5 linked regions of the Macaca mulatta genome follow. The protein of the gene in region 4 interacts with the protein of the main gene of each other region in a pairwise test. Links are inferred from orthologs where the notes say so. Each region holds a gene or a part of one and is shown on either strand. Other genes may lie near its edges.

Region 1 (3,713 bases), on a different chromosome or scaffold from region 4:
GAGTGAGGTTGCTGCAGAGTTGCCACTCCGGAGTTCCCCGGATAGCTGCAGACTTACCCGCAGGTAACAGTAGGAGTAGGAGTAGGAGTCAGCGTTATGGTTGTGGGAAAATGGGTGTCCTTCATTATGGCCTGTGGGAGTGTAAACTGTCCACCACTTAGAAGGGCATTTTTGGTGATGTCTATAGACCGTTTACCTGCGTGTACCCAGCATTACCATGTCTTTCTCTAGATACTTGTACTCACCATTGCCATGTCTTTCTTTAGATGTCCCCTAGAGGACAACAAGAGACCATCACAAAGGTGCACAGGAGGCACTCAAAAGACACTGGCCACAGTGCAAAGCACTGGAAATAATCTGCATGTCCATCCAGTAGAAGGGCTTTAAAAAAAAACCTAGGGATATCCATATTAAAAATTATAGGCTATAATTATAGCCTGTAAATTATAGGCCTGTAATCTCAGCTACTCGGCAGGCTGAGGCAGGAGAATAGCTTGAACCCGAGAGGAGGTTGGAGGTTGCAGTGAGCCGAGATCAGGCCACTGCACTCCATCCTGCACCACAGGGTGAGGCTCCGTCCTGCTCTGTCGCCAGGCTGGAGTGCATTGGTGCGATTTGGGCTTGCTGAAACCTCCACCTCCCCAGTTCAAGAGATTCTCCTGCCTCAGCTTCCTGAGTAGCTGGAATTATAGGCATGCACCACCATGCTCAGCTAATTTTTGTATTTTTAGTAGAGATGGGGTTTCACCATGTTGGCCAGGATGGTCTCGATCTCTTGACCTCGTGATCCGCCCGCCTCGGCCTCTGAAAGTGCTGGGATTGCAGGCATGAGCCAGATTGCAGGCATCTGGACTTAACTTTTTTTTTTTTTTTTTTTTTTTAAAGACTGAGTAAACTAGGAGTAAATAGGCCCTATTTAACCTGATAAAGGGTATCTATCAAAAACCTACAGCAAGCATCATACATGACAGTGAAACCTTGTGTCAGGAACAAGACAGAATCACTACTGCTTCTATTGGCTCCTGTACTAGATCCTGACCAGAGCAGTAAAAGAATCAAAGACAGTTTCTAGGGTACAGAATTGTTCAGCTGCTCCTACGCTGGCAAAGGGGCAGAGAATGAAACAGAAAAGGAAAAACTAGAAGTTGGACAACCAAGAGAGAGGTGAAAGAAGGTGGCCAGAGATGGCTGGTGTTCCAATGTAGCAATGGGGAGCCAGGGCCCCCAGTGCCCCCGGGCTCTGGGAGTCAGAGCAATGGAAAGAACAGACAGGGTAGAGGTGAAAGTGGGGGTAGGGGTGGGGGTGGCTGGGAGCTGACCAGGTGGGTGTCAGAGCTGAGAGGGTTGGGTGTTACCAGGGATAGCAAAGCAATGCTCATCCCAGCTCCTCAGGGTGAGCCACCTCTCCTTCTAGGGAACAGCTTCCTCCACAGCAAAGCCTCCACCTAGAAACAACTACACGCATCAGTACAAAAAGCTTCAGCCTTTATTAAACAAAGGAGGAGGTAGAAGACAGATAAGGGAACAGTTCAGGATCCCTTCTTTCCCCTATACATACACAAACATACAAAACACAGACACACCCCAGTGAATGACAGGGACCATCAGGCAACAGATTGAAGGGCAGAGGGAGGCAGCACCCTCCGAGAGTTGGCCCGGACCCAGGGGTGGGCTGAGACCTGGGCCAGGGGCAGCCGTTCCGAGGGGTTATGCCTGAGCAGTTTAGAGATGAGGTCCTGGGCTCCCGTGGGCACAGAAGCGGGGAACTTTAGGTCCACCTGCAGGTGTGAAGAGATGGAAGGGCTGCATTACTTTCACCCTGGCTACATCTTCCTTGACTACCCATTCTGTCTGGAGTTACTTAGGGCCACGCGGATACACTCTGCCCACCCCCAGCCCCCCAGCCCCTGGCCTCTGGAGCTGGCACGAAGCCCAGGCCGCCCTCCCACCTTGACGATGCGCCGATAGGTCTCGTTGTGTGATGCGCTCTCAAACGGTGGGTTTCCCACCAGCAACTCATAGCAAAGCACTCCAATGCACCACAGATCCACCTTCTCGTTGTGTGTGCGCCCCTCAATCATCTCTGGGGGCAGGTAGTCCAGGGTGCCACACATTGTCTTCCTCCTGGGAGGGATAAGGGGCGTGGGCAGGGGTCCCAGTGACATAGGAACTCTCCTTTCCCTGCTACCTGATGGCAGGGAGCCAAAAGACCACGGGAGGTACCAGGGGAGAGGTCCAGCCAGGCAGGGTTACTGGAGTGGGGGTGGGGTTGGGGTGATGACATATCTGAAAGCCCCAGAGGTAAGCCTGCACACAGCCCCAGCAACTCCACGCTGAAGGATATGTCTTAATGAGATACTCTGCTATGAGGGCAGTGTTCATTTGGAGTTCATTTTGGAGTTCACTGGGGACATCTCTAATGCCCATCAGGCATGTTCTGCTTAAATAAATCAGCTACTATGTGATACTATGAAACCGTTAAAAAATGATGTGGGAGGAAAAAAGGCCACTGCTCCGGGCTTTTTTGAGACAGAGTCCAGGATGGAGTGCAAGGGGGCGATCTTGGCTCACTGCAACCTTTGCCTCCCGGATTCAAGTGATTCTCATGTCTCAGCCTCCCGCACAGCTGGGATTGCAAGTGTGCACCTCCATGTCTGCTTAATACATTTTGTATTTTTAGTAACGATGGGGTTTCGCCATGTTGGCCAGGCTAGTCCGCTAGCCTTGAACTCCTGGCCTCAAGTGATCCACCTGCCTTGGCCTCCCAAAGTGCTGGGATTAGCAGGCGTGAGCCACCGCACCTGGCCAAAGTTTTACCATTGGCTCATACGGGGATCAAACCCATGACCTTGGGGTTCTTAGCACCACATTCTAACCATTTTGTTTGTTTTTTTTGAGAGGAGTCTCACTCTGCCGTCCAGGCTGGAGTGCAATGGCGCAATCTCGGCTCACTGCAACCTCCGCCTCCCAGGTTCAAACAATTCTCCTGCCTCAGCCTCCCGAGTAGCTGGGATTACTGGTGTCCGCCACCATGCCCGGCTAATTTTTGTATATTTAGTAGAGACAAGGTTTCAGCATGTTGGCAAAGCTAGTTTCGAACTCCTGACCTCAGGTGATCTGCCCGCCTCAGCCTCCCAAAGTGCGGGTATTACAGGCGTGAGCCAGCACGCCCAGCCCCTGGAGAGGTTTTAACGGCCCCGCCTCACACCCAGGGCTGGCCTCCCAGGCCACCATACCTCAGGGAGGGCGCATGCACAGACCAGCCAAAGTCAGCAATCTTCAGCTCTCCCTTGAGCCCTAAGAGCAGATTCTCTGGCTTTATGTCTCTGTGAATCACCTTTTTCCCGTGGCAGTACATCAGAGCATCTGCCAACTCCTCCATGATCTGGGAGGGGCAACGACAGGCAATCAGACAAGGATGGACCTCCAGCTACAAGCAGCACACCCTCAGCCTCCAGCCCCCTACTGGCGGCCCAGGTGCCCACCCGCCCGGACCGTGGCTGTTCGCTGCTCGTCAAATGTGCGGCTCTTCTGCAGCTCCTTGTAGAGCTCCCCGCGGGGCGCATACTCTAGAATCAAGTAGATCCTCCTCCGGTCATAAAAATAGTTGTAAAGACGCAGGATGTTGGGATGGCTGAGGGAAGAGACAGAGGAAGCCTCAGGCCAAAGGCATAAAAGAGCTGGGAAAGATAATAGGAGCAAACTGGGGTCAG
Region 2 (5,059 bases), on a different chromosome or scaffold from region 4:
TTGTCACAGACAGTGTCCACATTGGTTTAATCCCTTTAAGGTGAATTTGGCAACATCCACCGAAAGCTTTAAAAATAAGCTTTGACTTAGCAATTATACTACTGAGAATTTAAACTGAAAAAATAGGCAGGCAGGTGCACAAAACACGTGTATGGATGCATATCACCATATTTTTTATCACAGTCAAACTGTGAAAAATTTTTGTATTTAATAATAGAGGTTTGGTTAAATAAATAATGATATATCCATACAGTGAACCATGCATAGGTGATGTGGAGACCTACTAATGATCACGAAAAGATATTTGCTATGTATTTTAAGTAAAAACAAAATATATATGTAAGTTTGTGTGTGCGTGTTTATTTATAGTGCAGACCTGATTTTATGTAGCTAGCCATCTCTATCAAAAAATGTCTTGAAGAAGTATGTCAAAATCTTAAAATTAACAAACATTCTCTTTTCACTTTTAATGTGCTATTGTTTTATTTTTTACCATGAGCATACGTTTTATCATAAAAAAAGTAAATCAATAATAAAGGCATTTTCATCTTGAACAAAACAAAGATATCCCATTTGGGGCAGCAGACACCACCCCAGGACTGTGGCCCCTATGCCAACAGCCTACTCATAGACAGGGTAGGGGTGGCATGAAGAGGTCCTCTGAGGAGCTCACACAGCTCCTGTGTCTGACCACCAGTGTCCCTGCTGTTGGGCACAGTGATTCACGGAAGCCTCACTTTGGGCTTCAGTTTGCAGGGCTGTAGGGATGGGCTTTTCAGCATGGCAGTTTCATTTGATCCTATCTTTAAGACCTTGACCTTTGATGAGTCAATAGGCAGTCCTCCAGGGACAGGCTGGACACTGAGGACGAGCAACAGCAAGGGAGGGGTCCTGGGGTGCAGCTAGACCAGGCTTCTGGGAGCGGGGTGCAAAAAAGAAGGGTAGGGGCGATGATGTTCAATTGTGTTCACTTTTTGATGCTGTCAGGCAATGAAACTGTCTGTATCTTTAATCTTGTCAGGGGACAGGAAAGATCTTTTTAATGATTTTTGAGCGATTTCAAAAGCTAGAGTGAAAAATAAAAGCTAATACCCTTTGTAGATGAAAACACTAAGATTGTTGAAAGTCTGTTAAAATTTTTCAAAGCAACCCTCTGATAGTTATTTTTCCAGAACAACAGAGCTGTTAGGTGCCTTTTAGGATTTGAGCAGCAGTGTGGGGTAAGTCATGGCAACCAGTTCGTGCTTTCAGATGGAGTGTGGTCTCCTCATTGACTTGTATGTCTCCCATCCTGATGACAGAGCAAACCTCACTTCTTCTGGAAAAATCCAGGCCTAGCTTGGGGAAGTGGCTCAGGCAACTAGAGATTCAGTGAATAATTCAAGAGAAAAACGTTTGCAGGAAAAACAAAATTGTTTTTGTTTTAACTACATTTTTTTTCAGGGCTTTTGAACAAATTCCAGCTCTTGTTTTGTGACCACAGCTCCCTGTGATCCAGGAGTTACTAGAAACTCAGTGGGTACTATGAAAAACCTGAAAGTTACAACCATTTTGTTTCACACTGTGTGTGCATATGTGTATCTATTTATGAATATGCTCACCCACTTGACCATCTCTTTTGTAAGGAGGTGAGTGAAACAGCACACAAACAAATCACCCCATGTTTCTGCCTAGGGTAGTGAGCACTGGCTTGATTCAGAAATTAAGTTGGAATCCCAGTTTTGTCTTCAGACTTGCTGTTTGACCTTGAGCAGTTTATCTAACATCTCTAGGCCTTGGTCTCCTCTTATACAAAATAAGAATAACACAGTCTCTTTCATGGCATTGTAGGGCCAAGCAATAATGTCCCTAAGGGGTCTCACCCCGTGCTTTGATGATACTAGTGACCGAAAAGCTGTTAAGATGATTTTGTAAATTACACATAAAATTGTCTTCTCTCCCCATGCACAGACATCCTAGAGGGCAGATGGTCTCCTTCCCCTAGTATCTGCTGCTGCGTGTAGTTCACTGCTTTGGACACAGGGGCATTTATTGCCTGTTTATTGAAGGACTGGTTGATTAGACAATTAAGGAGCAACCCGGCTGAATTCAGTAGATCTGGAACATAAACTCTTCACTCCCAAGGGCCCTGGGACTGAGAAGGTAAAGGTGGTAAGAACTTTTCATTAGTTCAGTGAGGACTCAGTGGGGGAGGTGTAAACCCCGGCTCTGCATATGGGCCAATCAGCCCTACCTACCAAGCAGGAAAATTGTCCCTGGGTGTGTCTGGTCATGAACAAGTAGGAAACACCTAGCCTGCTACCAACATAGTTCTGCTAACAGTAGGGCTTGCACATCTGTTTTCTAAAAAGGAAAGAAAAATTGCATTCCCATTCACAGCAATGCCATGAAGTGGGTACAATAAAGTCTGCAGAGTCAGAAAGGCCTAGGTTCAAATCTTGACTCTGCCACTTTTCAGCAGAGCAACTTTGGGCAAACTGATCTCTTGAAGCCTTCATTGCCCCACTGTAAAATAGAAATAATAGAAGTTCTTCCAGCCTGGAGTTGCCATGAATATTAGCGACAAGGCACCTGATGTAGTGTCTGGAACAAAGGAACCAATAATGGTACCAACTGGCATCAGGATGACAGTCCTATTTACTCTAATTCACTTGTACTTACTACCTTCAGAAATTAGCATGAGATTTTTTTCTAGTAACATTAGAAGGCTACTCCTGCTACTCTGCTGTGGTCTTGACAAGAGTAACCCTCAAGGTAATGCCCCATAAAATGAACTCAGCTCCCATTTGCTGTCCACTGGACTGACTCGCGGGGCTTCCCAGAAGAGTGATTACCTTGGGAATGAAGGCCCCGCTCCATGACTCCGTGCTTGACTTTCATGTGGCGTGTCAGGTTCCCCTTCAGGGTGAATTTGCTTGGGCAATAGAGGCACTTGAAGGGTTTGCTGTCCGAGTGCAGGTGCATGTGGCCCATCAGGTTGTGCATCCGGTTGAACTCCTTCCCACAAAGCTGTCAAAGATGGGAATGAGAACACAGGTTACTCTGCCTGAGTGAAGCCCCATCCAGGCCCCTGGAGCACAGATACCGCTTCTACTTTGTTTGGACCTTGACATTTTAATCTACTTGCAAGGAAAATGTCCATAAGGAAATCAGGAAGGAGCCTCAAAGGTGGAGCAAGTGGGGGTAGATTCATGAGATTTGTTCCTGGAGTTTAGAAACCTTTAAATACAAAGTAAAAATATCAAAGCTTGTAAAACTTCTTTTGAATAAAAGCTTTGGAAAAGGAGAAGAGCTGATCTGAAAAGCAGTGGCTACAAGTGTTCCTCCTTTAATAATAAGAATGTGATTATGTGTTTAATATTTATGCAGCAGTTGCAATATGGAAGGCATTGTTCTAAGTCTACCATGGAATATCTTATTTAATTCTCACACCAATCATATGAGATGGTTGCTGTTACCATCCCCATTTTACAGATGCACAATCTGAGGACTTACGTCACTTGGCCAAGGCACACAAGTAGTGGGTGCTGTAGCTGGGTTAATGAACTCAGGCCATCAGATGCCAGAGGCCACATGGTCAACCACCAGACCACATTGTGTGTCTCCCAGCACAACTCTTCTGTATCAGGCAGAAGAGAATAAAAGAATACACTGTATTATTATATATGATGTATCACACAATGCTTTTTAAATTGCTTTATTTTCTAATTACTGGTATGGATTTCAAAGTTAAAAAAATGACAAATCATCTCAGGAAGGAACGTGTCTTTTCTCTGGGTAGAAATTTGAAGTAGTGAGAGTGTACAAAAAGTAAACATGTTTTACTCTTTCTCATCATTCTATTTCAATCGAACTGCAAATACATGAAGGACAACTGGTTCTCCAACTGCTTTTGGAAGAAGAGCAGAACTTTCTTCTCACAGGTGATTTTGTATAGGCAGAAAGAGGAACCCAGAAGCAGACTGCTTTGGGGGAGCTTTTGTTGTCCCCAAGCCTTACTAGAACAGGAACATTTCAGGCTGTGGTAGGAGGAATGCAAACAGTGATTTTGTGTCTGTGATTGGACAAGAATGTTAAGAGAGAAGAATTCTCCTTCCCTCCCCAACCTCAGAGGCCAGTGGAGCTGGGGCAGCACTACATAGTGAGAGAGGCCACAGAGACCCTCAGGGTGAGGCATCCTCTGAGCTTACACCAGTTTTCCTTCCTAACTGAGATATATTTTTAGGGCCAATGTTGGGGATTCTGGATTAAATTTTTATTGATGAAGGCAACAATTTCATTAGTTGGCTACGGAAGATGAGTGTTGAGCTCGTCTTGAAAGAGTAGATAGACCTCTCCAATGATGATTTGGGGAGTTTAGCCTAGAAGAATGCTGGGTCCATGTATGGACAATGAATGGCTGGCTCTGTATTCTTGAATGATTCATGTTTGAGAATTGTAAGTACTTTCCCCGCTTTTGCTCTCTCTTACTAGCATGAATGAATTTGGCCTACTGGGTGGGGTTCCAAGCTCAGCATCCAGATAGAGCATCTGCATGCCACATTCATTTGAAAATGGTGACCTAAGAGGAGAAAAGGATGACAGAACTGGTCTAATTCCAACTTTTGCAAGAGAAGCAATATGCAGGATAGATGACTCTTTTATTCTCAATTGAGATAATTTAGTAAGATGTATCAATCTGTGGCTCAGTCATGCATATGTGTAAAAGTTCTATTAGAGTTATGCTTATTAGCTTAATTTGCCCACTTCTCCACCATCATGGCTGAAGGCTCTCTTTTTTTTTTTTTTTTTTTTTTTTTCTGAGACAGAGTCTCGCTCTGTTGCCCAGGCTGGAGTGCAGTGGTACCATCTTGGCTCACTGCAGCCTCCACCTCCCAGGTTCAAGAGATTCTCGTGCCTCAGCCTCCCAAGTAGCTGGGACTACAGGTGCCTGGCTAATTTTTGTGTCTTTAGTAGAGATGGGGTTTCTCTGGCCATGTTGGCCAGGCCAGTCCCAAACTCCTGACCTCAAGTGATCCATCTGCCTCAGCCTCCCAAAGTGCTGGGATTACAGGGGTAA
Region 3 (5,059 bases), on a different chromosome or scaffold from region 4:
CTTCACCATGTTGGCCAGGCTGGTCTCGAACTCCTGACCTCAGGTAATCCACCCATCTCGGCCTCCCAAAGTGTTGCGATTACAGGCGTGAGCCACTGCGCCCGGCAATAAAGTGATTTGTGATATATTTGTGTCCACATAAAGACTAATGATTTTGAAATTCTGTTCTTTCTTTCTTTTTTTTTTTTTTGAGATGGAGTCTTGCTCTGTTGCCCAGGCAGGAGTTCAATGGCACGATCTCGGCTCACTGCAACCTCCGCCTCCCACGTTCAAGTGATTCTTCTGCCTCAGCCTCCTGAGTAGCTGGGATTACAGGTGTGCGCCACCACACCCGGCTAATTTTTGTATTTTTAGTAGAGACATGGTTTCATTATGTTAGTCAGGCTGGTCTCAATCTCCTGACCCCGTGATCTGCCTGCCTTGGCGTGCTAAAGTGCTGGGATTACAGGCATGAGCCACTGTGCCCAGCCTTGAAATTATTTTCTGTTTTACCCTTAACCCTCTTTATGTTAACCTCTGTGAAATAAAAAGTAGAATATTGGGGCTTACGTCATAGTTGCTCCTGGATCGGCAGTCATTTGATTGGTGACAAAAACAGCCACATTATATTCTGTATCAAGAGATAAAATTTTAAAACTATGAGAAAGGCTATATATATATATATATATTTATTTATTTATTATTTATTTATTTATTTTTGGAGACGGAGTTTCACTCTTGTTGCCTAGGCTGTAGTGCAATGGCGTGATCTCGGCTCACCACAACCTCCGCCTCCTGGGTTCAAGTGATTCTCCTGCTTCAGCCTCCCGAGTAGCTGGGATTAGAGGCATGCGCCACCACACCAGGCTAATTTTATATTTTTTAGTAGAGACGGGGTTTCTCCATGTTGGTCAGGCTGGTCTCGAACTCCCGAACTCCCGACCTCAAGTGATCCGCTCGCCTCGGCCTCCCAAAGTGCTGGGATTACAGGCGCGAGCCAAGAGAGGCAATATAGATATTTAAAAGTTCATCGTTTAGATTTTAGAGTTTAGGAATATTGCATCATGAATTTATTTTATAAATAACATCATATTCCTATTTTTCATTGACAACAAAAATTATTTGTTATTATTATTATTAAGGTTAGAATAAATATTTTTGGGCCGGGCACGGTGGCTCAAGCCTGTAATCCCAGCACTTTGGGAGGCCGAGACGGGCGGATCACGAGGTCAGGAGATTGAGACCATCCTGGCTAACACGGTGAAACCCCGTCTCTACTAAAAAAATACAAAAAACTAGCCGGGCGAGGTGACGGGCGCCTGTAGTCCCAGCTACTTGGGAGGCTGAGGCAGGAGAATGGCGTAAACCCGGGAGGCGGAGCTTGCAGTGAGCTGAGATCCGGCCACTGTACTCCAGCCCCGGCAACAAAAAAAAATAAATAAATAAATAAAAATAAATAATAAATATTTTTGGTTTAAAAAAACAGTTGTAAAGCTGGGTGCAGTGGCTCATGCCTGTAATCTCAGCACTTTGGAGGCTGAGGTGGGCAGATCATGAGGTCAGGAATTTGAGACCAGCCTGGCCAACGTGGTGAAACCCCATCTCTACTAAAAATACAAAAAATTGGCCAGACATGATGGCAGGTGCCTATAATCCCAACTACTCAGGAGGCTAAGGAGTAAGAATCGCTTGAACCTGGGAGGCGGAGGTTGCAGTGAGCCGAGATCGTGCCACTGCACTCCAGCCTGGGCAACAGTGCGAGACACTGCCTCAAAAAGAAAAAAAAAAAAAAAAAAAAGAGTTGTATTCTCATGAAGGTAATTTTATTAAAAAAAAAAAAAAAAAAAAAACCACTGCCTCCTGACATTATATTCCAAGCTTCTCTGCAAAGTATACTTGACAAACATAGTCACAGATGCCATTTTATTTTAAAGATATACCTTCTGAGATTTTTTGGAGTCGTGACAACATCTGGGCCAATTTTTGCTGCCGTTCGGCCAACTCTCCACGGCCACTGAAATCCACTCGAAAAAGTGCCATTATTGAATCGATAATCTACACAGGATTAAGGTAAAAATAAACATGCATTTGGAAATTGAAGGAAAACGTTATTTGAATAGAGATCAATAGAATAAAAATATTATGCTAAATAGCTCTGTGAAAGCAGTATTTAAAAGCTTGTACCAATAGTTTGAAGATGCCAGCTTCTTCATGGAACTTTGCTGCTACATAATCAAGTAGCTCCATCTGATGTTCACCTGGTGGGAAATGCAGTGAGAAAATGTTATAAAAGTTGAAAGAAGCAGAGGCTAAGATCATTCATATTCTTGGGAGCCAGGCAAAAGAAAGTCCTTGAAGAATTCTCTTATTTATTACTTTATTAAATATTATCGCAGCCTGGCATGGTGGCTCATGCCTGTAATCCCAACACTTTGGGAGGCCGAGGCGGGTGGATTTCTTGAGGTCAGGAGTTCAAGACCAGCCTGGCCAACATGGTGAAACCTTGACTCTACTAAAAAAATACGAAAATTAGGCCAGGCGCGGTGGCTCATACCTGTAATCCCAGCACTTTGGGAAGCCGAGGCAGGCGGATCATTAGGTCAGGAGTTCAAGACCAGCCTGGCAACATGGTGAAACCCTGTCTCTACTAAAAAAAGAAAAATACAAAAATTAGCTGGGCACGGTGGTGGGCGCCAGTGATCCCAGCTACTCGGGAGGCTGAGGCAGGAGAATCGCTTGAACCTGGGAGGCTGAGGCTGCAGTGAGCAGTGATTGCACCACTATGCTCCAGCCTGGGCGACAGAGCAAGACTCTATCTCGTTTAAAAAATATATATAATGGCCGGGTGCGGTGGCTCAAGCCTGTAATCCCAGCACTTTGGGAGGCCGAGTCAGGCAGATCACGAGGTCAGGAGATTGAGACCATCCTGGCTGACACGGTGAAACCCCGTCTCTACTAAAAAATAGAAAAAACTAGCCGGGCGAGGTGGCGGGCGCCTGTAGTCCCAGCTACTCGGGAGGCTGAGGCAGGAGAATGGCGTAAACCCGGGAGGCGGAGCTTGCAGTGAGCTGAGATCCGGCCACTGCACTCCAGCCTGGGCGACAGAGCGAGACTCCGTCTCAAAAAAAAAAATAAATAAATAAAATATATATATATATATAAAAAATATACAAAAATTAGCTGGGTGTGGTGGCACGTGCCTGTAATCCCAGCGACTTGGGAGGTTAAGGTAGGAGAATCGCTTGAAGCCGGGAAGTGGAGGTTGCAGTGAGCCGAGACTGCACCACTGCACTTCAGCCTGAGTGACAGAGTGAGACTCCATCTCAAAAAAAAAAAAAATTATTGCATATTCTGCCTTAGCATATATACCAAATGCTACATTATCCAAAAAGAATGTTACTCTTCATTTCAAAGACTAAGAATAATAAATAATTTAAGGGCACTTTATTATCTAAGGACCTACCAGATGATAAAATTTATAGACTGAGTAAATTAATTTAGAGAAAATTAAAATAGAAAAAAAGTATCAAAATGTTATATCACTCAAGTAGTAAATCAGTGCTGCCAACCTTACATTGACCCAAGCATCCAACTGCATGGGGCTCTTACTAGTATATGCACGTGCATAAAGTACGTTGTCCAGTACTGCATCATGGTCTACATTGAAGCGATCAGCAATGTCCCGAAGGCGATCTGGACGGCTGGAGTATGCCAAGATTAAGGATCCAATAAATCAATTATAAAAAAGCTTAGACAACCACTACAAAACATAGTATCTTACATAAATTAACAGAGAAGCCAAACAATGTACCTGTGAAGGTATTCTAGAGGATGCTAGCAACCATTTAAAGTCTATACAAGATTTGTTTTTTCATAAGTGCCTCAACTTACCATAGGTAGTGATAATGGTCATAGAAATGTGGGGCAGTAATGAATTTAACTATTAAATGATCAAATCTTTACAATAACCTTGGAAGCTAGTTTTTATGGCCTATTTTACATTTTACAACATAGGACACTGGGAAACAGAGATTAGGCAAATGACTTGAGCTTATGCAGCAAATCGGTTACAAGAGAAAAACTGGAAACTAAGCTTTGTGAGTCTTTTTGTTCTCAGATCTACAATAGATAATAGACCTATAACAGATAATATCACTGAATTATAATTCAGTAACTGCAAAGTAGATTAATTCACTCTCTTCAAAACCCTCATTTGCTCAATATGAAATAGTTTACTATATCATTAATCACGTGTTATTAAATGATAAATGTGACTACATGAACCAAAGGGTCAAAAAGGTAACTTCAAGGGTCCAGAAGAGAAATATAGACCAAAGGTTTTTTTGTTTGCACAGGTTTTCTTTTTCTTTTCAAATCTTACTTGGAAAGTATACAGAGTTTAAAATGTACTTTCTTCTAAAGGAATTGTTAGCTTTTTTTTTTTTTTTGAGATGAAGTCTCACTCCGTTGCCCAGGCTGGAGTGCAGTAGCATGATGTCGGCTCACGGTAACCTCTGCCTCCTGGGTTCAAGCAATTCTCCTCCTTCAGTCTCCTGAGTAGCTGTGATTACAGGCGTAAGCCATCATATCTAGCTAATTTTTGTATTTTTAGTGGAGACGGGGTTTTGCCATGTTGGCCAGGCTGGTTTCGAACTCCTGACCTCAAGCGATCTGCCTGCCTCGGCCTTCCAAAGTGCTAGGATTACAGGCATGAGCCACCATGCCTAGCCAGGAGTTGTTAGCTTTCTGAAATTAGCAAATTCATAGGGAAGCAAACTAAGTGCACCTGCAAAGGTATTTTGGAAGAAGCTAATAATCACTTCTATCTATAAACTATAAAGGAGTAATAAACATTTTTTTTTAGGTCTTTGGTGATCCCAACAATATGTCTGAAGTAAAATGAGGTAAAATTAAATGCATGTTTGTGCCCTTATTTCACTTTGTTTATAGAGTTTACATAACACTGATCCTAGTATAAGTAACTGTAAATCAAGGACTATTTATAATCTTATTTGTGATGTTTGCAATTAATTTAATAACTGTTTAGTTGAATTGTCGTTAGGATTTCCCAGTCATTTAT
Region 4 (5,545 bases):
GAGACTCAAGTCTCAAAAGAGAAACAGACATAGAAAAAATCTTTGCTGAATCGAACATGTGACTAATTGCAAAAGACATTTAAAACACAAGATGTATGAGACATAAAAAATAACAAGGTCACAAATCTAATGGCCAAGGAAGCCTATGATACAAATCAAGAATTTGAAAATGGAAAACAAAAAGATGATAATGAATGTGATTTTATATACTCTGCAACATGGATAATCTAAGTGGATAATCCTGGAATCAACGAGAAATACAGGACTGGGGTTCATGGAAAACATCTGGCCTAGAAAGAGATCTAGAAATGAATAGAGATTTGGGGACATATACTAATTTGTACCAAAGTAACATAACAAAGCCTAATCACCAAAATATAAAATAAAAGGAGACATGTAATACCTGGTTAAATTTTCTTACCTACTATTCTCCACAGCCTTCATAGCATATTCAACTTGAAAAACTCTTCCGTCAGGAGAGAATGTAGAGGCTGACAGGTCATACTTAAGGAGAAAAGGCAACAGTAAGCTTGTATCTTTGGCAGTAATGACCATACAGTTTCTTCCCCTCTAAATGGCTTAAGCATCAGGAACATGTTATATCCCAACAAAGACCTTGCTTTCAAGAGAGGAAAGGGAAATTTGTCAGAGCAGCAACAGTAGCTAAGGTAAAGCTATATACCTTAGATTTCAGCTATTGAAGAGTAATGGATACAAGTCCCAGGTGAAGTCAGAACACTTTTCACACAGACTACAAAACTCATTTTTGAAAAAGATTAATATGGGGCAGTAGAACCACCACTGGAGTTCGAACATTTAAATTTGTAACCATAACTCTGCAATTAACAAACTAAAAGACTTCAAACAAATCATTTGGCATTCACCAAGCACTTAATGAGTATCTATTATGTTAGTCCACTACATGGAATACAAAGGTGATCACTTATTCATTAAGTCCTTCAATTTCAAATCAGACATGAATCTAGGTGCTAGAGATACAGCAGTAAATCAGAAAAGGCACTAAGATGAAAATAAAAGAGTAAAGCAATGGAAGGAACTACTACAGACTACATCATCAGGGAAGGCCTTCTGGGGCAGTAATATTTAGGCTGAGTCAAACCTAAATGACAAGAAGCTAGCCATTTAAGATATGAAGGAAAAGCCTTCTTGGCATTTGGCACAAAGATCTTAGGGTAGAAATAAGGCTAGCACAGTCAAGAAACAGAAGTAACGTCACTGTGTCCCGAGCACTGTAAGCAGCAGAAAGAAGAGTAGACTGTGTTAGTGAGGTAGCTGTGGGTCAAATTATGTTGGGTCTTCCAGGCTGCAATAAGGACTTTGTATTTTATTCTAAATGCAACGAGGAATTTAAGCAGGGGGAGTGGTATGATCTACATTTTAAAAAACATCATTCTGGCTTTATGTGGAAAATGAATTCTAGAGAGAACAACAGAAGCAAAGATAAGGTGTTCCAAAGATAGTGGTACTAGCTTAGACAAGAGAAGAGGTAGAAGGGAATACTTTTTCAGAGTATAGTAAAAAAATAAAAATAATAAAAATAAACTTGCGAGGCCGGGCATGATGGCTCATTCCTGTAATCCCAGCACTTTGGCAGGTCGAGGCAGGCTGATCACGAGGTCAAAAGATCGAGCCCATCCTGGCAAACATGGTGAAACCCCGTCTCTACTAAAAATACAAAAATTAGCTGGGCGTGGTGGTGTGCACCTGTAGTCCCAGCTACTCGGAAGGCTGAGACAGGAGAATTGCTTGAACTGGGAAGCGGAGGTTGCAGTGAGCCAAGATCGTGCCACTGCACTCCAGCCTGGCGACAGAGCAAGACTCCATCTCAAAAAATAAAAAAAAAAAAACTTGCTAAAGCGTTGGTTCTGGAAGTAAAAAAAGGAATTAAAGATGAATCACAGATGTTTTCATATGACCATTCACTGAGCTGAAGACTGTAGTAGATGCAAAATGGCAAGGTAAGGAGAAAACCCAGAGCTCTACTTTGACATGCAGTACAAAATAAACAATCAAGTGGACAGACGTGTCAAGCAGACAAACAATTATTCATATCTGGAGTTCTTGGGAGAAATGAACACAGAAGATAAGCCTTCAACAGTGGTACTTTCTGAGTCTGTTTCCTGATCTGTTTTTTTTTTTTTTTTTTTTTTGATTCGGAGTCTCGCTCTGTCGCCCAGGCTGGAGTGCAGTGGCCGGATCTCAGCTCACTGCAAGCTCCGCCTCCCGGGTTCACGCCATTCTCCTGCCTCAGCCTCCCGAGTAACTGGGACTACAGGCGCCCACCACCTCGCCCGGCTAGTTTTTTGTATTTTTTTAGTAGAGACGGGGTTTCACCGTGTTAGCCAGGATGGTCTCGATCTCCTGACCTCGTGATCCACCCGTCTCGGCCTCCCAAAGTGCTGGGATTACAGGCTTGAGCCACCGCGCCCGGCCTCCTGATCTGTTAAACCCAGATCATTAACCCTACCATTGTTACTAAAATATCCCACATGGTTATATTATCAAGTATTCTTTAAAAGGTTTGTAGAATGAAATACTATTAATTGAAGGTAATAATATAATTGCAAAGTCAGTTTGCTACAAGATTATTGAGCATTTACTTATCTAAGAAAAGTATGGCAGAACTTTAGCATTCATAACCGAATGGATTAAACCATTCCAGACATAAATTGCCTATTATCAAATTTAGAACACCAGTACTTGAACTTAAGGCTGAGCATGAGAATCTTGTTAAGTAGAAATTGAGGAACTGAGAAACTCATTATTCAGTAACTCTAGTGCAAATAACCAATAAATCTTGTAGAAACTGTATTTTCTATATAGAGTACATAAAAGGAGTAAACTGCACATATACATACGTTTAACAAAGGAAAACCAAACAAGTTAACAAGTCCCACTGCAAAATCCTCAACAGTCTATCAAAAGTCTGAAGCTGTTAAGTTCCTAAGTAACCACTTAAACGTTTACGGGATAAATGCCTACAAGTGCTGTTAGGTACTTTGTATAGGAAAAACAAGGACAAAGGAAAAACTGAAGGATTCATCAGATTTAGTTATTCAGATCATTTTTATTAGTTCTGTTCCGACAGGGTTTCCAGTGACTCTTAAACTGAGCGGTCGATGATCTGCACACTTAAAGACAGAGAAGGCCCGTGAATCAGCAGCAACCTGGGAACTGCAAACGCAGTCCACAGAAAGCACGATCTCCAGACCGTGGAATCCCAAATCTCACTGCCTCGGTGGTTCTCAAGAGAACACACTATTTCAAGCCCCACGAGTTTCCACTTTCGGTTTCCCTAAGTGGCTGAAGAAAGTGACTCAGCAATCCAAAGCTGCTCCAAACCTCACCGCGGCGACGCCAAGCCAGCTACACCTGGGCTGAAAAGCTTCAGGAGTCATGGTCACCTGAGACGCAGGCCTAGCATATAGGGGATAAAGACGACCGGTCTCCAAACAGCTGCAAGTGGCCCACCCAGCCGAAGGCGGTCTTAGAGCACCCCAGGTCCGCGAAACCCTTGTGGTCTGTCCCAGTTCCCTTCAACCCCAAGCCTTAGGTTAAACTATCACACCCAGAGACAGCAAACTCACCCCGGTGCCGATGGAGCTCATCGTGCTAAACCCAACTGGACGCGTAAGGATTCCAGGCCTAGAGCGCTTCCCCTACACCACAGGATGCCGCAAACTAGTAACAGACCCGCTCATTGGCTGCATCGCCAACCAATAACCTTTTTCTCTGTGGCTCGTTCCGCGGCTCCGGCCCCCAGGACCAGGAGTATTGTGGGAAAGAAGCGGGACGCTAGAGGCTGGCGGCGCGCATGTTCAGAAGCAATAGAGGCGGGGTTGGGGAAAGCAAAGGCTCCGCCTTTAGTTCACGTACTTTGAGTTTTTGGCGTCGTTTTATCTGAGAAGCTGCTCTATTCCTTTCCTAGGAATTATTATTTATCTTTTTATATTATTATTCCCTCCTCGTCACTGTATTCTGTCTTTAAGCAAAAGGGAGAGATGCTCGTATACTCACAAAGAATAGAAAAAGCAGTAGGGGCGAAGTAACCTGTCTTCCTCCGCGTCCCCATCCTGACCTAGAATCTTGATGGCATCCACCTCACCTTCTTATGCCAGGCTCTCGGGAAGTTTCGCTTCAAGGGTATCGTCTTTGAATTCAGCTTGGAATTTTACACAAGTATTAGTACTCTTTCTATGAGTATAACGCTTTTTGGTAGAGTTAAAGATATGTCTGATTAAAGATATTTATTGAGCGCTAATGTATTCCACGTGTTCAAGAAAAAACTGTAAACAGAACATACCACCGTTTCTAATGGAATTTACATTCAGTAGGAAGAAATAGATAACGATAAATAAGCAAAATAGTAAGAAGGAAGAGTGCTTTAATAGAGAATGGAGGTACTAACTTTAGGCAGTGTGCTCAGGGAATGACTTTCTAAGTGAGTGATATTTAAAATAGGATAACAAAAGAGTGGTTGAGGGAACAGTAAAAAAACTTGGCTTGCGCTAGGAACTGTCACGTCAGAGTGACCCCTCATTAAGTGGGGAAGAGTGACGGGAAGAGAACAAGTGCACATGACAGCAAATCTTGAAGTGGTTTGAATTTTAATCCGATTGTAAATAGGGCATCAGCCTTTTTTTACTCCTAAATATTAATACGTCAGTGTGTATTTCCCCCCCAACACAGGAGCATTATTTTACATAGACACAGTATTATTGTGAAAATTAGAAAACTAGCAATACTGTGATCTATCAACTTTCTTTTTTGGGGGCGGTAATTTTCCCTATAAAGTCCTTCATAGCTAAAGAAAATCCAAGATCACACCTTGCATTCAGTTGTCTGCTTTAGTCTGGAAAATAGCTGCTTAGTATTTCTTCAGGTTTTTTTGTTTGTTTGTTTTTGAGACGGAGTTTCGCTCTGTCGCCCAGGCTGGAGTGCAGTGGCGCGATCTCCCGCTCACTGCAAGCTCCGCCTCCCGGGTTCACGCCATTCTCCTCCCTCGGCTTCCCGAGTAGCTGGGACTACAGGCGCCCGCCACCACGCCCAGTTAATTTTTTGTATTTTTTAGTAGAGACGGGGTTTCACCGTGTTAGCCAGGATGGTCTCGATCTGCTGACCTTGTGACCCGCCCGCCTTGGCCTCCCAAAGTGCTGGGATTACAGGCGTGAGCCACTGCGCCCAGCAGTATTTCTTCAGTTATCATGACATGAAGATTTTCGAAGAATACAAACCATTTATTTTGTAGAATATTCCTTAATTTAGGTTTGATTTTTTTGTTGTTATTTGATTAAAGTGATGCATTTGTGGCAGGAATACTACAGAAATGACCTTGTATTCATTCATGTCAGAGCATTGTATTAGGGACATGATGTTAGTTGTTTTATTGCTGATAATGTTAACTTTGATCACTGGCTGAAGATTTATCCCTGATAATGTTTCTACTTTTACCTTTGTAATTAGTATCTTGTGAGGAAATACTTTGAGAATATGTACACGTCCTGTTTACGCCTCAACATTTCAC
Region 5 (5,059 bases), on a different chromosome or scaffold from region 4:
AGTGATAATAAAAAGATTGAGAAACTCTGGCCTAGTCTGCCATTAAACGTTCAACTTGGCCAGGCGCAGTGGCTCACGCCTGTAATCCCAGCACTTTGGGAGGCCGAGGCGGGCAGATCACAAGGTCAGGAGTTCGAGACCAGCCTGGCCAATATGGTGATAGCCTGTCTCTACTAAAAATACAAAAAAATCAGCGAGCGTGGTGGTGTGTGCCTGTAGTCCCAGCTACTCGGGAGGCTGAGGCAGAAGAATTGCTTGAACTCGGGAGGCGGAGGTTGCAGTGAGCCAAGATAGCACCACTGCACTCCAGCCTGGCGACAGAGTGAGACTGCGTCTCAAAAAAAAAAAAAAAGCTCAATTCACCTAATGCCCAAGTTCTGATTCTACGTCCAACCAGAGACCATTATAAATATGTATTCTGCTGTCTCCTTTTCCCATCAGTTTTAGTTAGTATAAATCAATCTCTCAGGGCTGATCTCCCCTAGGAATGAGCAAGAATAAGTCTTTAGACCTTCAAAGCAACAATGTCAATCTAGCCAGCCTTTCCTAAAGGACTGCTATAAATGCCATCTTCCCACTGTACCACAACATTCCCACTAGGCTCTTAAAACCCTCCTAAGTTTACTAAGAAGATTAAATGGAATAACATATGTACGGACACAAGTGCAGAATGAAACAGGCACTTAAAAAATGTCAGTTCCCCTCTCCACCTTATCTCTTCTCCTCCAACCACCTGTAACTGCCTCTCACAGTTTGGTTTAACTGAGAAATGATAAAAAGGAAAATCTGTCTTCTTTGCATCTATTAATAATTTTAGAGAGTTTAGGCAAAACCTTATCTAGAATGCAAACTTTTGGTAAAGTATCAATCTGTATAAAACAGCAATCAAATTTATGTAGGTTTAAACAAAGATTTTGACTGCAGTTTTTCCTCCAATAATCTTTAATAATGAACTTGAATTACTTCCATGAAACACAGATCTCTATATTGGTTAAATATGATGCCAGAGAGATCTCCAAAGATTAGTACAGAAACTATGAACTATCATCAGAGTGTAATAAATTACATACTAGTGTTATCTCATAACAATATAATTCAGCACTCTATGACCCTAAGAAAAACAGGAAAGAAACAAACTCCTCAAATTATAAGCAAAACTTTCGCATTTTTTAAACCTTTGCATTCTTAAGCAAACCACATTATCTTACATATGCTTTAATCTCACATAGAAATTTTCTGTCTTTTGAACATTATCTTTCAGATTTTTTTCTTACACGAATTTCACAGAGTTTCACTCCAAAAGTTAAATAATGTTTATATTACCTAGTTTCTCTTTGCAAATAAAAGATTCTGGTAGCAGCTGCAATCTTTTCACACTTCTAATCTCATTGTTGATTTTCAGTGTAGCTGTAAATAAACAAAAGAAAGATGATAAAAAATTCTGTCACTTCATCAACTGCCTTTCTTTTTTAGTATGGGCTTGCATTTCCTTGCTCCTAATATACTAAGGACACATTATATAAAACAAACTGTTCTTCGCCTATTTCTTTCTCTGACAGCAAGTTCAAAAGTGTAAACCTGGCATCACATGAAGTAAAATCACTCTACAACACCACCTTTAAAAACTACAGTAAGCATCTTTATATAAAATCTACTAGGCAGCAGCTTATTAGTAATTGAAAGATACGCAACAAGGCTAATCAGAGGCAACTAAACACAATAAAATCATTATTTCTAATGAAGTCAGTAAAAACTCCATTTATCTTTTATTTAACCCTTGGCAATGAGTCTTCCCTTGTTCATTAAAATAATCTTGCTAGTTTTCAGAGCATCATCTCTCTTCCAGACCCAAAGGACCAATATTCTTGACATCACCAGAGGGTTCAATTTTAATCATGTATACAAAGGTGCACTTCAACTCATTCCATGAAAGAGCCCAGTGATGTGCTTATGCACATGTGCACAAAGCAGGATGCCTGGAGTGAAGGAAAGATTTAAAGACACACTGCTCTTTTCAAATAATCAATCCTGGAATGGCTGGCTGCCATGCAAGTCTGCCAAGAGCTGATTTGCCAAGAACAGTAAAGAAACAAAGTATGAGAAATTAAGAAATCATCAAGACATTCAGTAGTTATTCTTTTTATATTAAGTATTCTGAATCTAATGAATAGAGGTTATTATACATGTCATTAAGTGCTTTTATAAGAAATCAAGGCAAAATTTGCAACTACACATTTACTATTTGGTAACTTCAACCTTGCAAGTTATGATGTGATGTAGCAGAATGATGAGATGAAGGCAGAAACTGTTGACACTCTGTGTACAAGAATGCCAGACTAAAAGCTACATCTGCTAATTATGATGAACTGCTGAATAGACATTGCTAGGTCCTAGTGTCATCAGACAGTCATGTCCTGACAAACGTGAAGTACCACCAAAGCTATTAAAACCTAACGTTTTGAGACTTTTAAATAACATTTCAAAGAATCTTATGACTAAAGAAATAGAAATTTCTTAAGAGGCCAGGCGTGGTTCACACCTGTAATCCCAGCCCTTTGGGAGGTCAAGGCAGGAATACTGCTTGAACCCAGGAGTTCGAGACCAGGCTGGGCAACACAGTGAGACTTCATCTCTACAGAATATAAATAAAAAATAGCCAGGTGTGGTGGTACACGCCTGTGGTCCTAGCTACTCAGGAGGCCAAGGAGGAACACCGCTTGAGCCCAGGAGGTCAAGGATGCAATGATCCATGCTCTGGCTACTGCACTCCAGCCTAGGTGACAGAGCAAGACCTTGTCTCAAAAAAAAAAAAAAAAGAAAAAGAAAAAGAAACTTCGTAAGAGGGGAATGAGAACTATCCAACATCTCAAAGATCAAGACAGCATAAGTCAGTAGCTTTCAAAATAGATTTTAGCAGGAAAAAAAAACAACCACCATTTTTTTCAAACAGAATCTCACACAAAACTTCAATAAATGAAACAGATAAACATTTCGCTGCTTTTAAGTGGTGATAAGGCTTCTACCTAACTTTCATCTAGGCAAAGGAGCAGCTGCAGAACATACTGAAAACCTGACCTAAACCTTTGACCTAAGGCTTATCAAAGCAACTTCCTTTGCTAAACAAAAAAGATGAGCTATACTGAATAAACAAAACAACAAATGCAGCCCTCCCAATCTTGCCACACTATCTTTCTAACTAAAAGGATAAACCTCAAAAAACAAAACAGAATAAAAATGAAAGCTCCTAGTCATTCAAATGGATCTCCAGGATGTGTGATTATGATAGACTACTAGGAGTTGATATGAACCAAAGTGGTATCTGAACTAAAACACAAAGATGGAATGCCTTGCTATTCCAGTGAAATTTATTAATATGAAAAAGGAGACAGGAAAAGTTATTTATGCAGAGTGACATTTGTTGGGGGAGGCCCAGTAAATAAAACACACACTTACTAAGGCCTCAGTAAACTTAGCATTGTTGTTGTGCACTGCTGGCCACAGAGATGCGAACTTGGATAAATGGTGACCCCAGCTCTAGTTCCCCATGTCTCAGTTCAAGACCTTCGTTAAAAAAATAAAGCCATCCACAGGGATAAAGAAAAAGTATTCTCCAAAGAGTTCATGTATAATAGGCTCATTTCACTCATATTATCAAATATTGATAATATTGGATAATATTAAATATTACCCCCCAGAGCAAAATATTACAAAGATTAAGACATCAAGAAAATGGATGCCCTAAGAGTGAAGGGTGCTGGCCTAAACAACCCAACAACCTCTTACTCTATAATCTTCCAGACACATGTTATCAGTGGTCTAGGAATTCAATAAAGTTGAGAAGGACTCACAACTGTATCATGATAGCCAATCACTGAAGTGGCTATAAAACATTTGGAAAGAAACGTCTAAGAATCCATAAACGAGCAACCATGACTATGCTATTCAATTACCATTTACAACAATCAGGTTTCCCAGAGGCACACAGGTGAGAGTAGCGGAGCTGCCCTCGCAGAGAGGATGCATGTACTGCAGCTTATACACCCCGCTCAACTTCCACTTCTCCGGCATGGACAGTGCTTTGGCTTCGGTGCCCTGGGGAACGAAATGAAAGGGAAACAAATAATGAAGAAAGGTGTTACTCTCAAAAAGATTAAAAATCCAAAAGACTCCTAACTTGTTTGAAATAATCATTCCACATAGTCCTCTTAATACAATGCATCATTAATATTGCCATTATATTTTATATTGTAGGATAATATATTACAACACTTTTAATCAAAATTTTTGTTCAAACAGGTAAAATTGCAATATGGAAACAGGGATTGATCTCTCTCTTCCAAGACTCACTTCTCTGCCTAGCAAAACCATATGATTATTTAAAACTCCAAAATAACCAAATATCACTTCCTCTGTAAAGCCTTTTTCAAAGAAAAATTGTTTGCCATTTCCTTTCGTCCCCTAACAGTCTATTCATATTTCCGTTACACTTCAACTGTATTATTATCTATGTTTACTTGTGTTATTTCTGATTATCTTTTTATTTGTCTCTCTCCTCTATTTATGTATGGACTCCTTGAGGACAGGAAATATCCCAATGTTTTTATATCCTAATTTCTGGGTCAGTGCATGGCATGCTGCAGGTGTGCACTGATCACCTAATTACTCTATATCTTTTTAACTTATAACATGGCTCTCAGACCAGCAACATTGGTATTATGCAGGAGTATGAAGAAGTACATGGTCCATTCTACAGTTACTAAATCAGAATCTGCATTTTAATAAGGTCCCCAGGTATTCCAAAGCACATTAAAGTTTGAGAAGCAATATTCTAAATGTTCTCCTCCATGAATTCCTGGCATCCTATATATGAATATGTCTCTCCCAGAACTTCACCAATATAGCACAATGCTTTATATTTCTGTCTATCTCTGCCACTCTCAGACTATGGGCAACTTGACAGCAGGAACCATCCACATGTATGAGCAATTATAAGATGTTTGTGTTTTGCTTGCAGTACTTACCTGAGGCATGTAACCTGACTCCAACATGAGAAGATGTA

Evidence for each region.
Region 1: the proteins of PSMA3 (region 4) and AURKB interact in a two-hybrid assay, tested with the Homo sapiens proteins (2 studies listed by BioGRID and IntAct). The link is inferred for Macaca mulatta from reciprocal best matches to the Homo sapiens genes PSMA3 and AURKB.
Region 2: the proteins of PSMA3 (region 4) and ZNF366 interact in binary tests that used the Homo sapiens proteins (3 or more experiments, as listed by UniProt). The link is inferred for Macaca mulatta from reciprocal best matches to the Homo sapiens genes PSMA3 and ZNF366.
Region 3: the proteins of PSMA3 (region 4) and DMC1 interact in binary tests that used the Homo sapiens proteins (3 or more experiments, as listed by UniProt). The two-hybrid records come from large-scale screens. The link is inferred for Macaca mulatta from reciprocal best matches to the Homo sapiens genes PSMA3 and DMC1.
Region 5: the proteins of PSMA3 (region 4) and FBXO7 interact in binary tests that used the Homo sapiens proteins (3 or more experiments, as listed by UniProt). The two-hybrid records come from large-scale screens. The link is inferred for Macaca mulatta from reciprocal best matches to the Homo sapiens genes PSMA3 and FBXO7.

The regions. Positions count from the first base shown.
Region 1 is NC_133421.1:9,714,913-9,718,625, forward strand, and holds the end of AURKB (aurora kinase B), read right to left. Parts: intron 3,681-3,713; coding exon of another isoform or gene 3,635-3,680; coding exon 3,496-3,634; coding exon of another isoform or gene 3,486-3,495; intron 3,386-3,485; coding exon 3,237-3,385; intron 2,125-3,236; coding exon 1,950-2,124; intron 1,779-1,949; coding exon 1,605-1,778; 3' UTR 1,471-1,604; downstream 1-1,470. UniProt on the Homo sapiens protein: Serine/threonine-protein kinase component of the chromosomal passenger complex (CPC), a complex that acts as a key regulator of mitosis.
Region 2 is NC_133411.1:78,788,372-78,793,430, forward strand, and holds part of ZNF366 (zinc finger protein 366), read right to left. Parts: intron 3,010-5,059; coding exon 2,835-3,009; intron 1-2,834. UniProt on the Homo sapiens protein: Has transcriptional repression activity. Acts as a corepressor of ESR1; the function seems to involve CTBP1 and histone deacetylases.
Region 3 is NC_133415.1:12,993,317-12,998,375, reverse strand, and holds part of DMC1 (meiotic recombination protein DMC1/LIM15 homolog), read right to left. Parts: intron 3,681-5,059; coding exon 3,589-3,680; intron 2,238-3,588; coding exon 2,164-2,237; intron 2,035-2,163; coding exon 1,920-2,034; intron 611-1,919; coding exon 550-610; intron 1-549. UniProt on the Homo sapiens protein: Participates in meiotic recombination, specifically in homologous strand assimilation, which is required for the resolution of meiotic double-strand breaks.
Region 4 is NC_133412.1:131,367,189-131,372,733, reverse strand, and holds the start of PSMA3 (proteasome subunit alpha type-3), read right to left. Parts: upstream 3,683-5,545; 5' UTR 3,630-3,682; coding exon 3,609-3,629; intron 505-3,608; coding exon 422-504; intron 1-421. UniProt on the Homo sapiens protein: Component of the 20S core proteasome complex involved in the proteolytic degradation of most intracellular proteins. This complex plays numerous essential roles within the cell by associating with different regulatory particles.
Region 5 is NC_133415.1:19,015,887-19,020,945, forward strand, and holds part of FBXO7 (F-box only protein 7), read right to left. Parts: coding exon 5,022-5,059; intron 4,093-5,021; coding exon 3,951-4,092; intron 1,408-3,950; coding exon 1,324-1,407; intron 1-1,323. UniProt on the Homo sapiens protein: Substrate recognition component of a SCF (SKP1-CUL1-F-box protein) E3 ubiquitin-protein ligase complex which mediates the ubiquitination and subsequent proteasomal degradation of target proteins and plays a role in several biological processes such as cell cycle, cell proliferation, or maintenance of chromosome stability.